Cricetulus griseus: one gene and its partners. The protein of the gene in region 3 interacts with the protein of the main gene of each other region in a pairwise test. Links are inferred from orthologs where the notes say so. Each region holds a gene or a part of one and is shown on either strand. Other genes may lie near its edges.

What was found. The genes of interacting proteins can lie anywhere in the genome.
Region 1: the proteins of Tmem79 (region 3) and Plp2 interact in binary tests that used the Homo sapiens proteins (3 or more experiments, as listed by UniProt). The two-hybrid records come from large-scale screens. The link is inferred for Cricetulus griseus from reciprocal best matches to the Homo sapiens genes TMEM79 and PLP2.
Region 2: the proteins of Tmem79 (region 3) and Sftpc interact in binary tests that used the Homo sapiens proteins (3 or more experiments, as listed by UniProt). The two-hybrid records come from large-scale screens. The link is inferred for Cricetulus griseus from reciprocal best matches to the Homo sapiens genes TMEM79 and SFTPC.
Region 4: the proteins of Tmem79 (region 3) and Rprm interact in binary tests that used the Homo sapiens proteins (3 or more experiments, as listed by UniProt). The two-hybrid records come from large-scale screens. The link is inferred for Cricetulus griseus from reciprocal best matches to the Homo sapiens genes TMEM79 and RPRM.

What each region holds. Positions count from the first base shown.
Region 1 is NC_048604.1:114,134,767-114,139,631, reverse strand, and holds the start of Plp2 (proteolipid protein 2), read left to right. Parts: upstream 1-1,773; 5' UTR 1,774-1,898; coding exon 1,899-1,994; intron 1,995-3,150; coding exon 3,151-3,303; intron 3,304-3,411; coding exon 3,412-3,507; intron 3,508-3,979; coding exon 3,980-4,070; intron 4,071-4,521; coding exon 4,522-4,541; 3' UTR 4,542-4,865. UniProt on the Homo sapiens protein: May play a role in cell differentiation in the intestinal epithelium.
Region 2 is NW_023276807.1:225,165,230-225,170,173, reverse strand, and holds Sftpc (pulmonary surfactant-associated protein C), read left to right. Parts: upstream 1-1,852; coding exon 1,853-1,894; intron 1,895-2,886; coding exon 2,887-3,045; intron 3,046-3,365; coding exon 3,366-3,488; intron 3,489-3,718; coding exon 3,719-3,829; intron 3,830-4,137; coding exon 4,138-4,302; downstream 4,303-4,944. UniProt on the Homo sapiens protein: Pulmonary surfactant associated proteins promote alveolar stability by lowering the surface tension at the air-liquid interface in the peripheral air spaces.
Region 3 is NW_023276806.1:66,163,994-66,167,963, reverse strand, and holds the end of Tmem79 (transmembrane protein 79), read right to left. Parts: intron 2,281-3,970; coding exon 2,067-2,280; 3' UTR 1,043-2,066; downstream 1-1,042. Other genes in the region: Glmp (glycosylated lysosomal membrane protein), read left to right, coding at 1-5, 118-283.
Region 4 is NC_048599.1:120,434,090-120,438,205, reverse strand, and holds Rprm (protein reprimo), read right to left. Parts: upstream 2,267-4,116; 5' UTR 2,006-2,266; coding exon 1,676-2,005; 3' UTR 793-1,675; downstream 1-792. UniProt on the Homo sapiens protein: May be involved in the regulation of p53-dependent G2 arrest of the cell cycle. Seems to induce cell cycle arrest by inhibiting CDK1 activity and nuclear translocation of the CDC2 cyclin B1 complex.

The DNA.
Region 1 (4,865 bases), on a different chromosome or scaffold from region 3:
GCTGGAGATTGTGTAATTCCTTCATGTGGGCACTGAGTGGGACAAGAGGATCACAAACTCTAAGCCATCTTGGGCTCTACAGAGAGACTGTTTCAAACAACAAAGAAAATGAAAGACAAAGAAAAGGAGGGGTTCTATTGTGGGAGATGGTGGTGGGCTGCAGGCCTCTATTGAAGACAACATTTGAAGTGGAACTGAAAAACCAGAAGCCAAATAATGAAAAGCTGGGGGAAGGGCATCTATAGTAATGGGAACGGTAAGTTCAAAGGCCAGACGCAGCTAAATTTGTCATGTTCTACAAGTTCAGGTATTTATCACTGCTTGAATGCATGCACTCAACACTCACAAAAACGTTTCAACCTTTCCATTAATTAACTTCTTAAACAATGGCAATTGTAAAAGGGTGCCCCTTCATTTGGAACGGCCCTATGTTTGGGGTGGGGGCAGGTAGGCCCTTAGGTTGAATTCAGCCTTTCAAATAATTTCTTTACACTTGAGATGAATATAAAACCAATGTCCAGAACACATTGTGGAGTGTGTGTGTGTGTGTGGGGGGGGGATGTCCTTAGTATCAGAGTTAGATACTAAGATGGCCTGGAGAAATTATTTGCTCACATACACAGTGCAAAATGTCAACTTTCTTACCCCAAATTGTACTCCAAGAACCATCCCCTTACCATGTCCACCTGTCAGCAAAAAATGTTTGCTTTTTCCATTCTTCATCTAAAGCTGGCTTGGCCTATCTTCTTAGAATCAGAAAGCTGAGGTCTAGCCCGCAGGCTGAAGACTTCTCTGCAACTGGACAGCACGGTAAACCACTGGCTCCCTAGACTCTAAGTAGATGATTAATAATCAGTACTCTTTACCAGGTGACCACTAATCAGTACTCTTTACCAGGTGACCACCAGGTCCTGTTCTCACGAAGTCTTTGCAGCACTATCTCCTATAAGCAAAGCCTCCCAAATTCTGGAAACTGGCTGCATCCCCCTCACACCAGTTTCGTATCATTTGACTACAGAACCTGACCTAACTTAATCAGGAACAATTTTCAATCTCCCTTCATCTCACTTATTGTGAACATTTACACCATTTCTTGAGATAATTAAGTTTTAATACCCCCAGGTCCTGCCCAGAGTGTTAGGTAATATACTGTACTATCTATCAGTGGTTCTCAACCTTCCTAATGCTTGCTGCAACCCTTTAATACAGTTCCTCACGTTATGCTGCTCCCCCAACTGTAAAATTATTTTTGTTGCTATTTCCTAACTGTATTTGGCTATGGTTATAAATCAAAATGTAAATATGTGCGTTTTCTGATGGTCTTAGGTGACCCCTGTGAAAGGGTCTTTAGACCCACAGTTTGAGAACCATTACTATATAAGCAAAAACGGAAAACCTTCTAAAATTCAAAGCTAAGAATTCAGGAAACATACCTGACCTCAAAAATTTCGGGTTTAAGCCGGGCCTCGGCCATTTTTTTCAGCTAAGGAAACTGAGGCACTCTATTGCTTCTTGGTCTTTTGGCTAAGATCAAATGTAGGAAGTCAGAATCGCTCGGTTCGGAGTGGAAGTAGCGCTTTTGCAATTTTTGAGAAGTTAAAGGTCTCTATAGTCTTGCACTTGGTACCTGGAGCTGCCAGACACCTAGAAGATGAGGGCTTGTGCAGGATTCGCACTGTCTTTGGCCGGAGGGCAAAGGGGGCTTCCGGGGCGGCAGCCACCTGGCCCGGCCCCCTCCGGCCCCGCCCGCTTCAGCTAGGCGCGGTGATTCATTCCCTCCTTTGCCCGGGGGCCCCCTTCCCGACCAGACGGCGGGACGAACGGCTGGGTGTGCAGCGACCTCGAACTCGTGAGCCAGAAAACAGAGCTTCTGCGTCCCAGTGACTCCAGCACACACCATGGCGGACTCTGAGCGCCTCTCGGCCCCTGGCTGCTGGTTAGCCTGCACTGGCTTCTTACGCACCAAAAAGGGACTTTTCCTGTGTGCTGAGATTGTGAGTGTTCCGTGGCTGGAGGGTGGGCAGGCTGGACCGCTCGGTACTGGACTGTTCGGGCTGAGGCAGGCACGTGGCCAGGCTGGTTGGCAGTGGGGTGCAGGTGGGTGAGTTCGTGGAGGAGGATCGAAGCCAAGGTGCAGGGGGTTCCCTGGGACATGGGCGAAGTAGTGGAGAGCTGGTGGTGCACTGGTGAGGCGAAGAGTCTATAACTTATGTTGAGGGCTCGGCGTGGGGGCATAGACTCATAGTGGATGCAAAGAAGGGGTCCCGGGGAGAGTGGGAGCCTCTCGTGGCAGGGCGTGGCCGGCCTGGGCACTGGCTGGCGGGCTGGCAACGCGCCCAAAGGCGGGGCCTGTTGGGGTGGGGTAAAACTAGTCCCCTAGGGTAGGGCACTCCACCCTTTGCCAGTTCTCCCTTGCCAGTTTGGGACTGGATGGGAGGTCCTTAGCTCTTTGGATGGTTATAGGGAACTTTGGTTTTCCATCCCCCTCAAAGTGGTCACTGCCTTTGGGTCACTTATAAAAGAGGTGCGGCGCCTTTAACGGAGCCCTGCCCTCCTAGTGTCAGTCTCACCCCTTCCCAAAGGGGTTGCCTGGGGAACCGCACGTCCCTCCCCTGAAGGCATGGACGCTGGCGCCACCAGCGCTCACAAAACACCTGGCAGAGCCACTCCCCTCAGGGAAAGGGGGAACCGAAGCACATAATTCTGCTCTTTTCTTACTGGGTGACCCTGGGCAAGCCATTTAACCTCTCTATGACTCAAATTTCTAATGTATAAAATAGAATAGTACCTAGCTCATTAGATTCTTGTGATGATTAAGTGAAATAAAACATGTAAAACTCCTAGACAATGCGTGGAGAACAGTGAGCATGCGAGAGGTCTTTAGCAATCATTGCTTGTCATTTTGGCACTTCTGGTAGTTCGTCGCCAAAAGGAATTTTTCTTTCCTCCCCCACTTCCAACTCTCCCTGCTGAGTGAGCAGAGCCTAGGGCCTCATACGTGTTAGGCAAATGCTCTGCCTCAGAGCTATATCGCCAGTCTTGGGAAGTGGATTTCACTTTTTTTTTTTCTGATGGCCATCTTTTCTAATTTCAAACTTTGCTCTTAAGCCACGGCTGATGGCTGATTGAGGTCCCCTGTCCCCCTCTCAGATACTGTGCCTGGTGGTTTTAATTTGCTTCAGTGCTTCGACATCAGCATACTCCTCCCTGTCGGTGATCGAGATGATCTTTGCTGCTGTCTTATTTGTCTTCTACATGTGTGACCTGCACTCCAAGATATCATTCATCAACTGGCCATGGACTGTGAGACAGGGACCAGCATTGCTGAGGGTGGACAGGGGGTTGGGAAGTTGCAGTGGTCTGGAGAGCTGTGGATGCTGAACTGACCTTTTTTCTCCATCCACTTCACAGGACTTCTTCAGAGCCTTCATAGCAGCCATCCTCTACCTGATAACCTCCATTGTTGTCCTTGTAGATGGAAAAGGCAGTTTCAAAATCGCTGCTGGGGTAAGGGCCCAAGAAGCATATCCAAAGCACAGGAAGAAGGTTGTGAGGATCTAGGGGCTTCTTCATGAGTGTGTGAGCCACATCAGGCCAAAATTGCTCTCAGGAATTGCAGCAAAGTTTGGCCCCAGAAATGATTTTTATCTACCAAGATAATTTGCTGTAAAACACTGTCCGCTGTCTGACAGAGAGACCTTTGTCAACATGTTAGGCTACTATCTGCTAGAACTTTGCCTCAGATGTAGTATGAAGCATGCCTTCTACATATAAAGCAATGGGGGTGCAAAGAGGTAACTGGGGAGATGGTGGGATAGTAAATATTCAGACTCCTGGCCTTTCCCTGATCTTCTCTGGTTTCCTAGCTTAGGGCTGGACTCACTATCCTACATGGCCTTGTACCTGGAGGTGGATACAAGGACATAGAGGCTGAGTAGGTACACCCTCTAATCCAGTTCCCTCACTCCTGTCTTCCCAGGTACTGGGTATATTTGCTACATTGCTCTTTGGCTGTGATGCCTACTTCACCTTCCCTTTAAAGCAGCAAAGACATACAGCAGCCCCTACTGGTAAGAGAGGGGGGGAAAAAGGGGGGAGAGAGGCAGTGTGTGTGTGTGTGTGTGTGTGTGTGTGTGTGTGTGTGTGTGTGTGTGCGATCATGAGTGCATGCATGCTGAGAGCAGAAAAAAAGAAAAAGGGCCAGGTGTGGTGGTGCACTTCTTTAATCCCAGAACTCAGGAAGTACAGCCAGGCAGATCTCTGTGAGTTCCAGGCCAGCCTGTTTTACATAGTGAGTTCCAGGATATCCAGAGCTACATAGTGAAACCCTGTCTCAAAAAACTTAAAGGAGAAAAAAGAAGAAAAAGGGGAAAGAACCTCTTAGGGAAGGGTATGAATGCCAAATCTGACCTGTATTGATACTTATGCCTTTTGTGCCAGTAAATATCATAAGTGTGTCAGCATTCCTGTTGGTAAAAATGGCACGTGGATCTATCAGTGCTTTCTTTTTTCCTCTTGCAGATCCCACAGATGGCCCTTGATCCTCATTCATCTATCTCTGCTACCTGCAAATAGCTCCTCCATCAAAAACTTCCTCTTGCCTGGTGTGGTGGTGCATGCCTTTAATCCAAGCACTCAGGAGGCAGAGACACGTGGATCTCTGTGAGGCCAGCCAGGGCTACACAGTGAGACCTTGTTTCAAAAAAAATACCTCTTTCTATTTCCACAACACTCCCAGCCAATTCTCTGACCCCACTGAAAGTGCTTATGTATGGTACAGGAGATTGAACCTAGAACCATCTGCATACTAGGCAAGCAGTCTCCTCCCAGCTACACCTCCTATAAAAGTGCCTTTGTTGGGAGAG
Region 2 (4,944 bases), on a different chromosome or scaffold from region 3:
TTGCTGATGGGGTCTGCAAGTAGAGAGCTGTTGGCTACTCAAAGGCAGTTTTTAAAGAGTATGTGAGAATATGCATATGTATGTAACTTCTTCTTCTTCTTCTTCTTCTTCTTCTTCTTCTTCTTCTTCTTCTTCTTCTTGTTTTTTTTTTTTTTCTGCTTTTTTGAGACAGGATTTCTTTGTGTAGCTTTGTAGACCAGGTTGACTCAAACTCACAGAGATCCTTCTGCCTCCCAAATGCTGGGATTAAAGTGTGCGCCTCCACTGCCTGGTTGTTGTATGTAACTTCTATAGTCTAATTTGTATAAGGGACTTGCATGCCTGTGGATTTGGCGTGTCCATGAGGAGTCCTAAAAACAATCTGGAGATATTAAGGGGCAGCTTTGTAGGAGAACAAGGGTGCCAGGTCAATACAAGGAAGTACTAGGCTCCAGCTTACACATTCATAAAAGTTGAGAGGTGCAAAGATGTTTCAAGTCCACCTGGCCAGCAACTGAAAGGGAACCGGATGGGCTAGAGAGAAGGTTCAGTGGTTACAAGCATTGGCTACTCTTTCACAGCATCCAAGTTTGATACCTAGTACCCACATGGAAGCTCACAACTCTCTGTGACTCCAGCCCCTGTGGGTCCCATGTCCTTTTCTGGCCTCCAAGAGTACCAGGCATGCAGGTGGTGCACAGGCAAAACACCCATACCCATAAAATAAAAATAAATAAATCTTTAAAAGGGAATTGAAGGCATGTAGCCAAGGCCAAGTTGAAAGGGTGCAACCAATCCGAAGTCACTGGTAGATGTGACTGACTTAGTACCCCAAGCAACAGGAGAGAATTTGGGGAAAGAGAGAAGGGAGGGAGAGAGGAGAAGGAGGAAGTCATGAAAGTGAATGGGATTTGGTTAAATCACATTGGGCAAATTTAGACGATATAAACAGGAGGTCAGAAGGGTAGATAGAATGGTCGAAGGGCAGAGGTGGCTGATTGGGACCACACTCAGCCCTGTGCAAGGTCATCTTGGCTTGAGAAAATGTCTGGGGATGTAGCTCAGTGGAAAACGGCTTCCCAAGCATGCTCATGACCTTAAGTTTGATCCTCAGCACTGGAAGGCAAAAACTAAGGCCTGGAATAGTCGTCAGAGCATTCAACTTACAGACAGGCCCGGGGCAAGGAGTGAAACAGGACTTATCCCCCAGTAAGAGGTTTGCAGCTGTGAGGAAAGGGTTTCCAGAGTAAGAAAAATGACTGGAGCAAATCCGAGGTTAGAGACAGCAGGTGTGGGAAGCAGGATAAAGAGGAACCGACCCTGTCTCAGAAACCACACTAATGGATCCCCAGTTTTGTTCCAAGCCCTGTTCCTCCAGTAGACACCTCTCCACCCCCATCAATAATCACCACTTTCTTAGTCCCTGATGGAACTCATGTCTGAGCCTGGGGGAGGTTATCTGGTAGAAAGGGATGGCCAGATTCTTGGCTACCACAGGAAAGGTTTGGCCTGTCAAACGAAGAGAAGCCACAGGGCTGCAGGGGCAGGTGCCAGCAAGAGAGGCAGACATGCCAGAAAGACACCCACGGTGAGAGGAGCAGGTGGCCTGAGGGTGAGTTTGCTCACCTCACCCAGGTTTGCTCTTGTTGGGGCCAAGAGGATTCATGTGCCTAGGCCAAGAGCCCTTGGGGGCTCTTGCAGCTGGCTTATCAGGGCCTAGGCTGTGAAAAACCTGGAATAAACAAGCTTCAAAGCCAAGGACTTGGCTGGCAGACAGAAGACCTGGTCCTTCACCTCTGTCCCCTCTCTCTCTGATGATATATATAGGACACTGGCCACACTAGAGAGATGAGAAGAGAAGAAAGCCTACAAAATGGATGTGGGTAGCAAAGAGGTCTTGATGGAGAGTCCACCGGTGAGTGTGGTTTTGTGTGTGTGTGTGTGTGTGTGTGTGTGTGTGTGTGTGTGTGTGTGTGTGTATTTACATAAGTGTACTGGACTTGCCTGCTCCATTCTCCATAGGATTTTTTTCTTCAATTAGTTTAGGATTAGGCTGTTAGGATGGAGACACCATGATCATTAAGAGTCCCTGGAAGAGGCAGGCATGGCAGCCATGAATTTCTGTATAAAGGGGTTGAGAACCACCGTAGGGGTCAATAGAAAGGCCTGTGAAAAACACTGCTAGAGTCACCAAGTAATTAGGAGGTCACAGAGAAAATGGCATGTGAGGCTGGGATGGAGTTCAGTGGGAAGAGTGCACTGCAATCAAAGGCCCTTGGGTTCAGTCCCCAGGACCCCATAAGTCAGGCATGGGGTCCACACCATTTGGAAGTGTAAGCAAGACAATCATTCAGGGTTATCTTTAGATATGTAAGGAGGTGGAAGGCAGCCTGGGTCTCAAAAAAAAAAAAAAAAAAAAAAAAAAAAAAAAAAAAAAAAAGGAGAAGGATGGCTCCTCAGATAGGCGTGAAGATGACACATGAAATTGCCTAGGAAGAATATGCAGGCACCCACAAGGCAAAGGAGGAAGGCATACAAGGAAGAAAGGGACTCTACATAAAGATATGGAGATGGTGCTACCTGGATCCTTGGGGAGGGGGAAGGGCACAAAAATGCTGGCTATGTCTGAGGTGCCAAGAGTCTTGGGAAAACAGAACATACGATTACTAACTGGCTCTCTTGGATCCTTCCAAACCTAGATTTTGCCTCTAACTTCCTAAGTTTCTGTGGGTTTGTTTGAATCCGACCACCTTCCCAAAAGCCTCTGGTCTCCCCAGCGCTCCTCTGCATATTCATAGCCTAACGGGGTATGAGCGTGCATCTGGTTGGTTCAGGGAGAGGAATGGGCATCCTCTCAACTGCCTGCTTGTCTCTCTGCTCCCCCCCCCCCCCCCCCCGCTTCTTCAGGACTACTCAGCAGGTCCCAGGAGCCAGTTCCGCATCCCCTGCTGCCCCGTGCATCTCAAACGCCTTCTCATCGTGGTTGTGGTGGTGGTCCTTGTTGTCGTGGTGATTGTAGGGGCCCTGCTCATGGGCCTTCACATGAGTCAAAAACATACTGAGATGGTGAGCAGGCCTGGGTTGAGCAAAGAGTAGCAGCGATGAATGTCAGACAGAGGAAGTTTGCTGGGGTGGGCAAACAAGAGCGTATCTTGAGTGATACAAGCAGAGATGGGGTAGCAGACCAGCATAGATGGTTTTTCCCCAGGCCCTGGCCTACAGTGTGATAACCACCAGTCCCTCCAACACCAGTGATCTTTAGCCTTCCTGAGATCTCAGGAAAGAGGGAATTGCGTTCCAACAGAGGGCTCTGGGTAGATATGGGTACCAAAGGGCTGAGAAAAGAAAGAGGAATGCCAGGCAGCACTCTGACAGCCTCTCCCTAGGTCCTTGAAATGAGCATCGGAGCACCGGAAACTCAGAAACGCCTAGCCCTGAGTGAGCACATGGACACCATTGCTACCTTCTCCGTTGGTTCCACTGGCATTGTTGTGTATGACTACCAGCGAGTGAGTATGCCTGAGGGACCAATATGACTTTACTGGAACTGTCTAGTTGTACCACCTCTTTCCAGAGGTCTCTCTCCATTCTGTGCCTGGCTGCTTCCCCTCGGATGCTGGAGTCTCGGACTCAGATGTGTCTCCCATGGCCAATCTAAAGGGAGTTGGCTGAGAATCAGGGTTGGGGAGTGAGCAAGGCAAGGGACCTTCCTGAATGACCTCCCGTGTTACATGCCTAGCTCCTGACTGCCTATAAGCCAGCCCCGGGTACCTACTGCTACATCATGAAGATGGATCCAGGGAGCATCCCCAGTCTTGAGGCTTTTACTAGAAAATTCCAGAACTTCAAGGTGGGTGTGTGAGTAAAGGGAGTGAGCTGTCTCCCTCCAAGGGTTGGGGAGAGGAATATTTGAAATGATGGCTAGTGCCATCTGCATGGTATTGATTCTCCTGGGCCAGATGTGTTCTCTCTGCACTCACCTGTGTTACACCTATCCCAGCTGTCAGCTGGCCTGCTGCTAAGTTGTTGGCTTGGCTGAGCTCAGACACCACCTGTGTGCTTCTGATTTCAGCCTAGTCCCTCTGTATCGGTGAGGAAACTGAGCCTCGAGAATTTGCCTGGCTAGCCTAGTGTCCCACAATAAGGACTGCAGGTGAGATTGAACATATGTGTTCTTTCCAGGCCAAGCCCTCGGCGTCCACCCCTAAGCTGGGTCAGGAGGAAGGGCATGGCATTGGTTCTGAGTCTTCCGGGAGAGACCTGGCATTCCTAGGCCTTGCTGTGAGCACCTTGTGTGGAGAGCTACCACTGTACTATATCTAGGACCCCCTCAGGTGAGCAAGGGTACCTTTGATGGTGCCTGCACAACGTTGGGAAGGCTTGGGCTTCGGGCTTTGTCAGCAAACCTACTAGGGTTCTCCTGAAGTCAGTGGTCTGGGGACGGCAGAGGATGGCAGGCTCACAGACAGCCCACATTGGAATCAAGCGAGTGGCTCCCTAGGTTCCCCCCCCCCCCGCCCTTCACGTGATAAACATCAGTTCTTTGCTTCACAGGGTCGGTGGTAACCGCATGGGGACAGGAAAGACCCGCACGCAGAGAAGGGTCTCTTGCAGACAAGCAGGAAGCTGCTCCTGTTCTTGCTCGACCCGACAGAGTAGAAGCCAGTAGAGGAGAGGGGTCTCCTACAGGCCAGGGGGTCTCCTACCACAAAGCAATAAAGCAGCCTGATTGAAAAACAAAGGGTGGCATGTCTTTTCTTCCACATTTTCAGTTTCGCTCCTGGCGGGAGCCGTCCTTGGAAGGAGAGGGTTTGGGGGAGTTGGGACGCTTTGCCACATCCTTTCTGTCTAAGAGTGATGGGGATTTGGTTCTACCCCAGGTAGTGGGGAAGGGGGCAAAAGGCGGGGATAGGGGACGGGACCTAGGTGCCATACACGGGTGTTAGGCGCCCTCCAGCGGTGTGT
Region 3 (3,970 bases):
TCCTGGTAAGAACCAAGGATTTGGAGAGGTCAAAGTGGAGAAGAGCTGAGCCCCTCAGCCTTCCTTCCTAAGCTTGCTAACCTTTTTTTTTTTTTTTTTTTAACCTTCTTGCTTTAGGTCAATGCTTCTGGGAATGGGCTTCCCTCCAGTGGATGCCTTGTCTCCACTAGTGCTCGGAATCATGGCAGTGGCCCTGGGAACTCCGGGGCTCATGTTGCTGGGAGGAGGCCTGTTTCTGCTGCTTCGCCACAAGCAGTATTCTGAGTACCAGTCTATAAACTGAAACCCACTCTCCAGAGGAAAGGGCAGGACCACATCTGCCTTGCTGTGCCTCAAAGTGTTGAAGAGTAGAGGGTCAGTGTTGTGATCTGCTTTTCTGCAGAACCTCAGAAGCCAGCCTCAACTTACTGGGGGCTCCCTGGGCGATGTCCTTCCTACCTTAGGGAGAGGCTAGGATTACAAAGGAAGGTGCACCACTGATGCTTCCTTCTCTGTCATTTGCCACTCCGGATTCCCTTGGATAAAACTTGAAGGCCTACAATAAGAACGACTGGTTGGCTGCCCTAAGGGGCATGAAATAGATATTTTTCCCATAAAATATTCTAATTTCTCTCTTATTTTTAAATGAGATATATGTATTTTATTATATTGTGTTTTGCTTGCTTGTATGGATGTGTGTGTGTGTGTGTGTTGCCTGTGGAAGTCAGAAGAGGGCACTAGAGCCCCTGAAACTGGAATTATGGATGGTTGTAAACCACCATATGGGTAAAGGGAATTAAACCAGGGTTCTTTGCAAGAGCAAGTGCTCTTAACCACTAAGCCATCCATCTCTCTAGTCCAGATTCCAATCTCTCTCTCCCTCCCTCCCCTGCCCCCACCTCTCTGAGATAGGGTTTCTCAGTGCAGTCCTGGCTGTCCTGGAACTGACTCTGTAGGCTAGCCTCAAACTCAGAGATTCCCTGTCTGTGTCTCCCGAATGTCGTCGGGATTAAAGGCGTGTACCACCATGTCCGACTGCTTTCAGCAAATAAGAAGACAGAGATAGGCTTGAAAGGCAATTTCTATTTGAAGGCACATTTTCTCACCAATCCCAGTGGTCTCCCCCAAGGCTCTTGTCAGCCATCCTCTTGATGCTTAGGAGTTGACTTGAGGTGGGGGGAGGGGCAGGAAGAAAGAGTCATGGGAGGCGGGCAGTGATTTATTACATACTCACACATATATACTGAGCAAGCAGTCACTCTGCCATCCAGCCACTACATGTGACTATTTACAGTTCTTTTGGAGGTTTCATCCCTCTGCCCCAGCCCCCCACTTTTGTTTTGTTTTGTTTTTCGAGACAGGGTTTCTCTGTGTAGCTTTGGAGCCTATCCTGGCACTCCCTCTGGAGACCAGGCTGGCCTCGAACTCACAGAGATCCGCCTGACTCTGCCTCCCTAGTGCTGGGATTAAAGGCGTGTGCACCACCAACGCCCGGCTTCCCAGCCCCCCACTTTTACAGTGAGATTTCTTGGAAGTCTGAAAAGTGGAAGGTTACAGGGACCCATGTAGGTTGAGAGAGGGACGGCAACAGCTGCAATAGTCTTGACTGAGGCAAAAAAAAGTCTTGAAGCCAGGGATAGAGAGGGTCTTTAATCCAGGCCTCCTAGGGAGGTTTCCATCTAGTGTCAAAGATGTCCTTATCTGATGTGATTCCAAGCTCTACCCTTGGGCTTAAGCCCATCTCCTTGACTTTCATCTATACAGCTGGCAAAGACAGTTGAGGTTGGGCTGCAGCTCTGCACCCCTGGCCCACAGGAAGCTGGGTAGTGAGGTAGCCATCCAGCCTTAGCCTTAGTGTGGCATAGTGAGAGGCCAAGAAGGAAGAGTGTTAATCCAGTCTCAGGCTCTCACACTCCAGGAGTAAAACAAAAGCTAGGAGAGAACTGGGGTATCTGGGCCCCGCTGGATGGGGCCCCAAAGGGCAGTAGCAAGATTCCTCACATTGAAGGTCCACGACCTGGGCAAAGGCCAGGCCTGCAATTGTTTCAGGGAAGCACTGAAATTCCCCTGCACAGCCCCAGGGCAGCTCAGCCCCATGAGCGCGGCCTGTAGTCGGAGATAGATCGCATGTGGTCCGGGTAATCCAAGCGACTCTCAGAGGCAGTGAGCATGCGCTCGGGCTCCACCACGAACATGTAGTAGAGGTTCCACATCAGCATGGCCAACAGCGGCAGGAAAGTCAGCCCATAGCCAAAGCCTCGGAAGGAGCGGCCCACAGCAAAGGTCAACCAGTAAATCAGCCTGTGGGAGCATGACAAGGGTTATCTTCTCTCCAGGACCCAGCCAATCGGTCAGGAGCAGGCGCCATGCTGGTACTACAAACGCCCAGTTAATACATATGCTCCCAATGTTTACTTTCCCACATCTTTGAAGTGAGAATATTATTCCCGTCTTCTCTTTTATTTACTATTTAAAATTAAAGGGGGGGGGGGCTGTGAGAGATGGCTCAGTGGTTAAAAGCACTGACTGCTTTTCCAGAGGACCCAAGTTCAATTCCCAGCACCCACATGGCAGCTCACAACTGTCTGTAATTCCAGTTCCAGGTGGTGCGTCACACATAGTCAAAGCACCAATTCAAATAAAATAAAGATTTAAGCCGGGCGTTGGTGGCACATGCCTTTAATCCCAGCACTCAGGAGGCAGAGGCAGGCGGGTATCTGTGAGATGGAGACCAGCCTGGTAGTTCCAGGACAGCCTCCAAAGCCACAGAGAAACCCTGTCTCGAAAAACAAACAAACAAAAAAGTAGGCAAAACTAATTTCATTTTGTTGTTTTGTTTTCGAAATAGGGTTTCTCTGTGTATTAGTTCTGGCTGTCCTGGAACTCACTCTGTAGACCGACTGGCCTCAAACTCAGAAATCTGCCTGCCTTTCTTTCTTCTTCTTCCTCCTCCTCCTCCTTATCCTCTTCCTCTCTCTCTCTCTCTCTTTAATATTCATTTATTTATTGTGTATACAGTGCAGGCCAGAAGAGGGCACCGGATCCCATTACAGATGTTTGTGAGCCACCATGTGGTTGCTGGGAATTGAACTCAGGTCCTTTGAAGAGCAGCCGGTGCTCTTAACCTCTGAGCCATCTCTCCAGCTCCTGGCCAACTAATTTCTTTCTTAATTAAGTTACAATTAAATGTTCATTTATGTGATCCAGAATTAAATGACAATTCAACTTTAATGTTTTCTTCCCCTGTTGGGTGGTATTGCCACATATCTTTAATCCCAGAACTCAGGAGCAAAGGCAAGCAAATCTCTGGTTTTGAGGCCAGGCTGGTCTACAAAGCTGGTTCTAGGATGGCCAGGGCTACACAGAGAAACCCTATCACAAACAAACAAACAAACAACAAAAATTGTCTTCCCTGGCTGGGCGTTGGTGGCTCACACCTTTAATCCCAGCCCTCGGGAGGCAGAGGCAGGCAGATCTCTGTGAGTTCAAGGTCAGCCTGGTCTCCAGAGCGAGTGCCAGGATAGGCTCCAAAGCTACACAGAGAAGCCCTGTCTCGGGGGAAAAAAAAAAAAAAAATGTCTTCCCCTTTTCTGATTCCCATCCTAATCTCCCCAACTCCCACCCTAGGTATCCAGTTCTACAGTTTCTTGATTCATTTCTGTTTTGTAGATACTAACAAAATCTTGTTTGTGGTCCAGGGCCTCACAAAGCTAGGCAAGTGATCTGCCACTGAACTATATCCCCAGCCCCCAGTCCTTCCTTCACCCTCGCAAATGAAGGGACTACAGGCACACTCCACCAGAGCCTTCTGCATGCTAGGCACATAGTCTACAACCGAGCTAACTCCCAGTCCAGTGTCTCCCCTCACTGTCAACTGTTTTGTCTGCTCACTGTTGCTTTGTTGTTGAGTTAAAGCCTCACTATGCAGCCCTGTATGGCCTCAAACATGTCCTGATTCTCTGGCCTCTGCTTCCTGAGTGGAGGCTGGGAC
Region 4 (4,116 bases), on a different chromosome or scaffold from region 3:
AGTGTGGGTTGTAGTAGTCTTGAGTATCAGGACTAGGCTATCTCCTTTGAGCTGCCTGACTAAAGAGGAAGGCAAATGTTCATCTCTCTCTCTCTCTCTCTCTCCCTCTCTCTCTCTCTCTCTCTCTCTGTGCTCTTTCTGTACTATTTTTAATCAATTGATGGATGGATTACTTATATTTACGGGGTATAATGTGGGATTAACTCATCACCTTAAACACTCGTCATTTCGTCATTGGTCTCTTATATCTGATTCCTTTCTCTAGAAAACGTTTTACGACAAAGACAACGAATACCTCCTGACTTGGACACAAGGGTTTCTCTGCTCAGTATTTCGAACTTCCTCAGCTACTTTTCTTCAGAACCTGCACTTTTCTTTTTCTGGAGCAGCATCCCTATGCTGTCCTGCTGACGTGGGTCAGGGGAAAGACGCCCTCCCTAAAGGCTAGCTTGGCCGGCTTCTTCTTTCATTAGCGGGGTAGCCTAAGTTCTCCAAGGAGCCTGGTACGGAAGTGTAATCTTCCCGCGGGGACCTCCCTGACATCCGAGACAAAGTGAAATTTGAAGTCGTAAATATGGGAGAAAACAAAGGCCGCTGTTTTCGAGATGGCTTTTGTGCCTGAGGCTTGGTGTGTGCACTCTGTCGGGCCCCTCCTTCCCTCCCTCCGGGGATATAAGGCTCTACGAAGTAGAATCGCAGCTCCGGCAAGGCGAAACCTCCTGGCCAGGACCCAGACTGCACAGCCGACCTTCCTGTCCGCCAGGAGAATAGAATGACTACCAGGAGGCCAGAAACAAAACACTTAAATGTTTCATTTATTAAGGAAATGTTAAATAAGAAAAAAAAAGTCAAACGTTGTCACGGATATCAAGAGCACTTTTGTGGAGTAAACCGTGCATACACGAGCTACAAATTCTACTCTGGATCTTTGTCCCGGGCTTAGCTGGAGCGCCAGCCTCCCAAAGAGACCCAGCTGGAAATGCACTAAAAGAAAGCACTTAACCCCATTCACAGTCTCAGGCTACCCTCCCCCCACCCCTTCTCCCAAGATGACAAAAACTCTAACCCGCAGGCAGGCAAACAGGCCACTAGGGCTTAAAAGACTTATCAAATATTTGTATTCAAGCAAACTAACACAGATCTCTATAAACCACAGGTTACTATTGATCAAAGTTCCACTCTCCCCGCAGGTCGCAAAACCCACACACATCTATGTTCCCATTAGGTCTGCAGTGTGCTGTAGAAACAGGTCAATTTCGTGTCACCCGGCTACTAGTGCCTCTGGATATCCTCCCCACCCCAACTCCCGCCTTTCTCGGCCTCTCCAGATGTCCCCAATGCTGGGCCCACCTGCAGGTGGAAAGGGGCCTTCGCCTGGTCCATCTCCCCGCGTCTCAGGCAAGCAACGGCTCCCAAAGTTCTGCGCCTTAATCACCCTCTTTTGCCACCTGCTGCTGAGTCCCAAAGTCTGGATGCTCCGTCTGAAGGCTTGCTTGGGGCCTTTAGGAGAGCGATCAGAAATGGGTCACTTTTTCCCCAAAGGCAGGAGGCGAGAGAAAAAAATTCTGACTCCGACAGGTTTGCTTTACTCGGTCTCTGATGGTGAGAGGTGCATCACGGCTGGTGGAGTACTGGAGAGGCCAGGAGCACCAGCCGTGGGGGACCAGAGGGCCTCTCAGTAGGGTCCCACGACCACTGCCTCAACCTCTTTAGACGGCCTCCGGTCCTTCACCAGGAAGTTGATCATGCCTTCGGATTTGATGAGCAGGTTGCAGCCAAGGAAGAAGATGCCGAAGACCACGGTGAGCGAAAGCACGCACATAACTGCGATCTGCACCACGCGCATGATATACAGGCTACGCTCGTCGGGGCCACCCTCGGCGAAGCCATCGTCGGTCACCACCGACGCCTGGGTGCAGCAGCGCACGGCGCGCTCCAGAGCCTCGCTGCTGTTGGCCAGGAAGAGACCGGCCACGTCGGTCTGGTTGCCCAGCACTGAATTCATCACGGGAGCAAGCGGGAGCCAGGAAGGCGAGGATCGGAGGGGTGGGGACCGGGAGGCGGTGGCGCCGGAGAAACAGGTGCTGGAAGGAGCGCTGGCTGGCACACTTGTGCGTACGGGGCTCCTCAGCCTCCCTTTCAAAGTCCCTGGGCCGTGAGAGTCTCAGGAACCTCTCCTGGGCGCGCTGCAAGCTGGCTCGTGTGCGCCTTGTGCTGCCCGGGCTTTGCTCGTTCCCGGCAGTGCTCGCTCGACTGGGAGCTCTTGGAACTTGGCGGGTTGGGCCGGAGGGGCCGTGGGAGGCGCGGGCCGCGGCGGTGGCCCGGCGGCTGCTCCAAGCGCACAGCGGCCCCTGCTGGTGGCAGAGCCGCGCTGCGCCCCCCTCGGCCAGGAAGTGGAGGCAAAGAAAAGAGCCGTCCTAGCTGGGTTTGTAGTATCTTCATTTCCTAAGGCCAGGAAGAGGTCACTAAACACTCTTGATGTGATGAACAAGAAAAGGATTTGGGGAGAAAGGCTGAAAGTGGCAGAGAACCTGGGTCACACACGCTCTTGAGAGTGTCCTTCAATGCTGCCCCTCTCACCTTTGATTTGACTTAAAGTGGCCAGGTACCAGATGGCCCTGGCCAAAGCACTGACCCACTGCTTATTCCTGTCTACCTGCTTGTCCGGGAACAAGGGGGGCGGGGCAGGATCTGGGAAGTTATTTCTTTCTCACTTCTTTTTGGAGGTGTGGTGGTGGTATTATTGTTTTAAGGAAGGAAGAACTGATGAAAGCGTCAGAAAGAGTAAAAGAGTTATTACATGCCAACGTAGTGAAGCGGGGTTTGCAGTGAGCTGCAAGGCCAAGGCAAGGGGCAGGACGATGAAGGAGGTGTTCATCTGTGGCTCGTGGGTGAAAGTGCTAGCCAAGAACAGGGTTAACTCTCTGGTAAGGGAGGTGGACAGAGCCATCACTTCACTGCAACTTTAATTGCAGAGGAGTTTTTGGATGAGCTTTCAGCGTTTTTGTCCTTGGCAAAAAATCAGTTGTTTAAGGGAATTGCTTGTCCACATCCACCACCTAGACTGCTAGCCAACAGCTGGAAGCCTCCCACCAGAAGCTGATGCACACCCCCAGCCTTCCTTACTCACTGCAGAGCAAACTGCCGGCTTTTCAGGGAGCTATGGAGGCTCAGTCCTTCGTGACTGCTGTTGGTTCTAAGTTCCAGGGGAGTCTTACAAACTGGCCAGTTCGTATTTTAGGTTCCAGAAGATGCCCAGTTTTCGGCCCCCCTTCCCCTTCTCTCCTTTCCCAGTTCTCTGCTTTCTTTGACCCCTCTCTTTCTATTATAATGACTGGAAACGAGACATTGATGTTCAGTCCAAACTTTTGAAAGAATACTCTTAACTAGTTTCTACTGAGATAGTGGAGTTGCTTTGCTATTCTCTGCTCTATTGGGGATGGGGGTAGGGGTGGGGGTCGGGGGAGGCTCTATAACTAGCTCAGACTGTCCTTGAAGCAGTCATTCCAGGCCTTTTATTTCTGAGTTTGGCATCGATAGACATGCACAGAGATTTTTGATTACACCGTATTTGCTGACTTAATCCCCCCTCTAAGAGTCATCCATTTCATGTTCAGGTCTCTTTAATGTCTTAGCACCATTTCCCTATGCCTCATCTCAAGCCACAGGACTGACTTTTAGACAAGATTTTTTTTTTTTTTAATTTTCTGGAAGCTTCAGTAAGTTCTAGATACCTAGATGCTTTTGTAATGGAGAATAGGCAGGTGTGAACCGCAGAGAACCAGGACTCAGCCATATTTCCTTGGCTTAGTTGCTCTAGTTTTCATGATTCAGTCGACCTTGAAGAATGTTTAACCTTCAAAAATATCTCTTTTTTGGGTCAAATTTATTATTAATGGATCATATAGAATTCTTTACATTTTGTTATCCAGGTAATGGATGGAATAACAGTGTCTGGATTGATGGTTCAGCAGTTAAGAACATTTGCTACTCTTCCAAAGGACCCAGTTCAGTCCCCAGGCCATGTCAAAAGCCTCACAACTGCCTGCAATCCTAACTCCAGAGGGATCTCATGCCTCTGGCCTCCACAGGCACCTTCATTCACACACAAATACA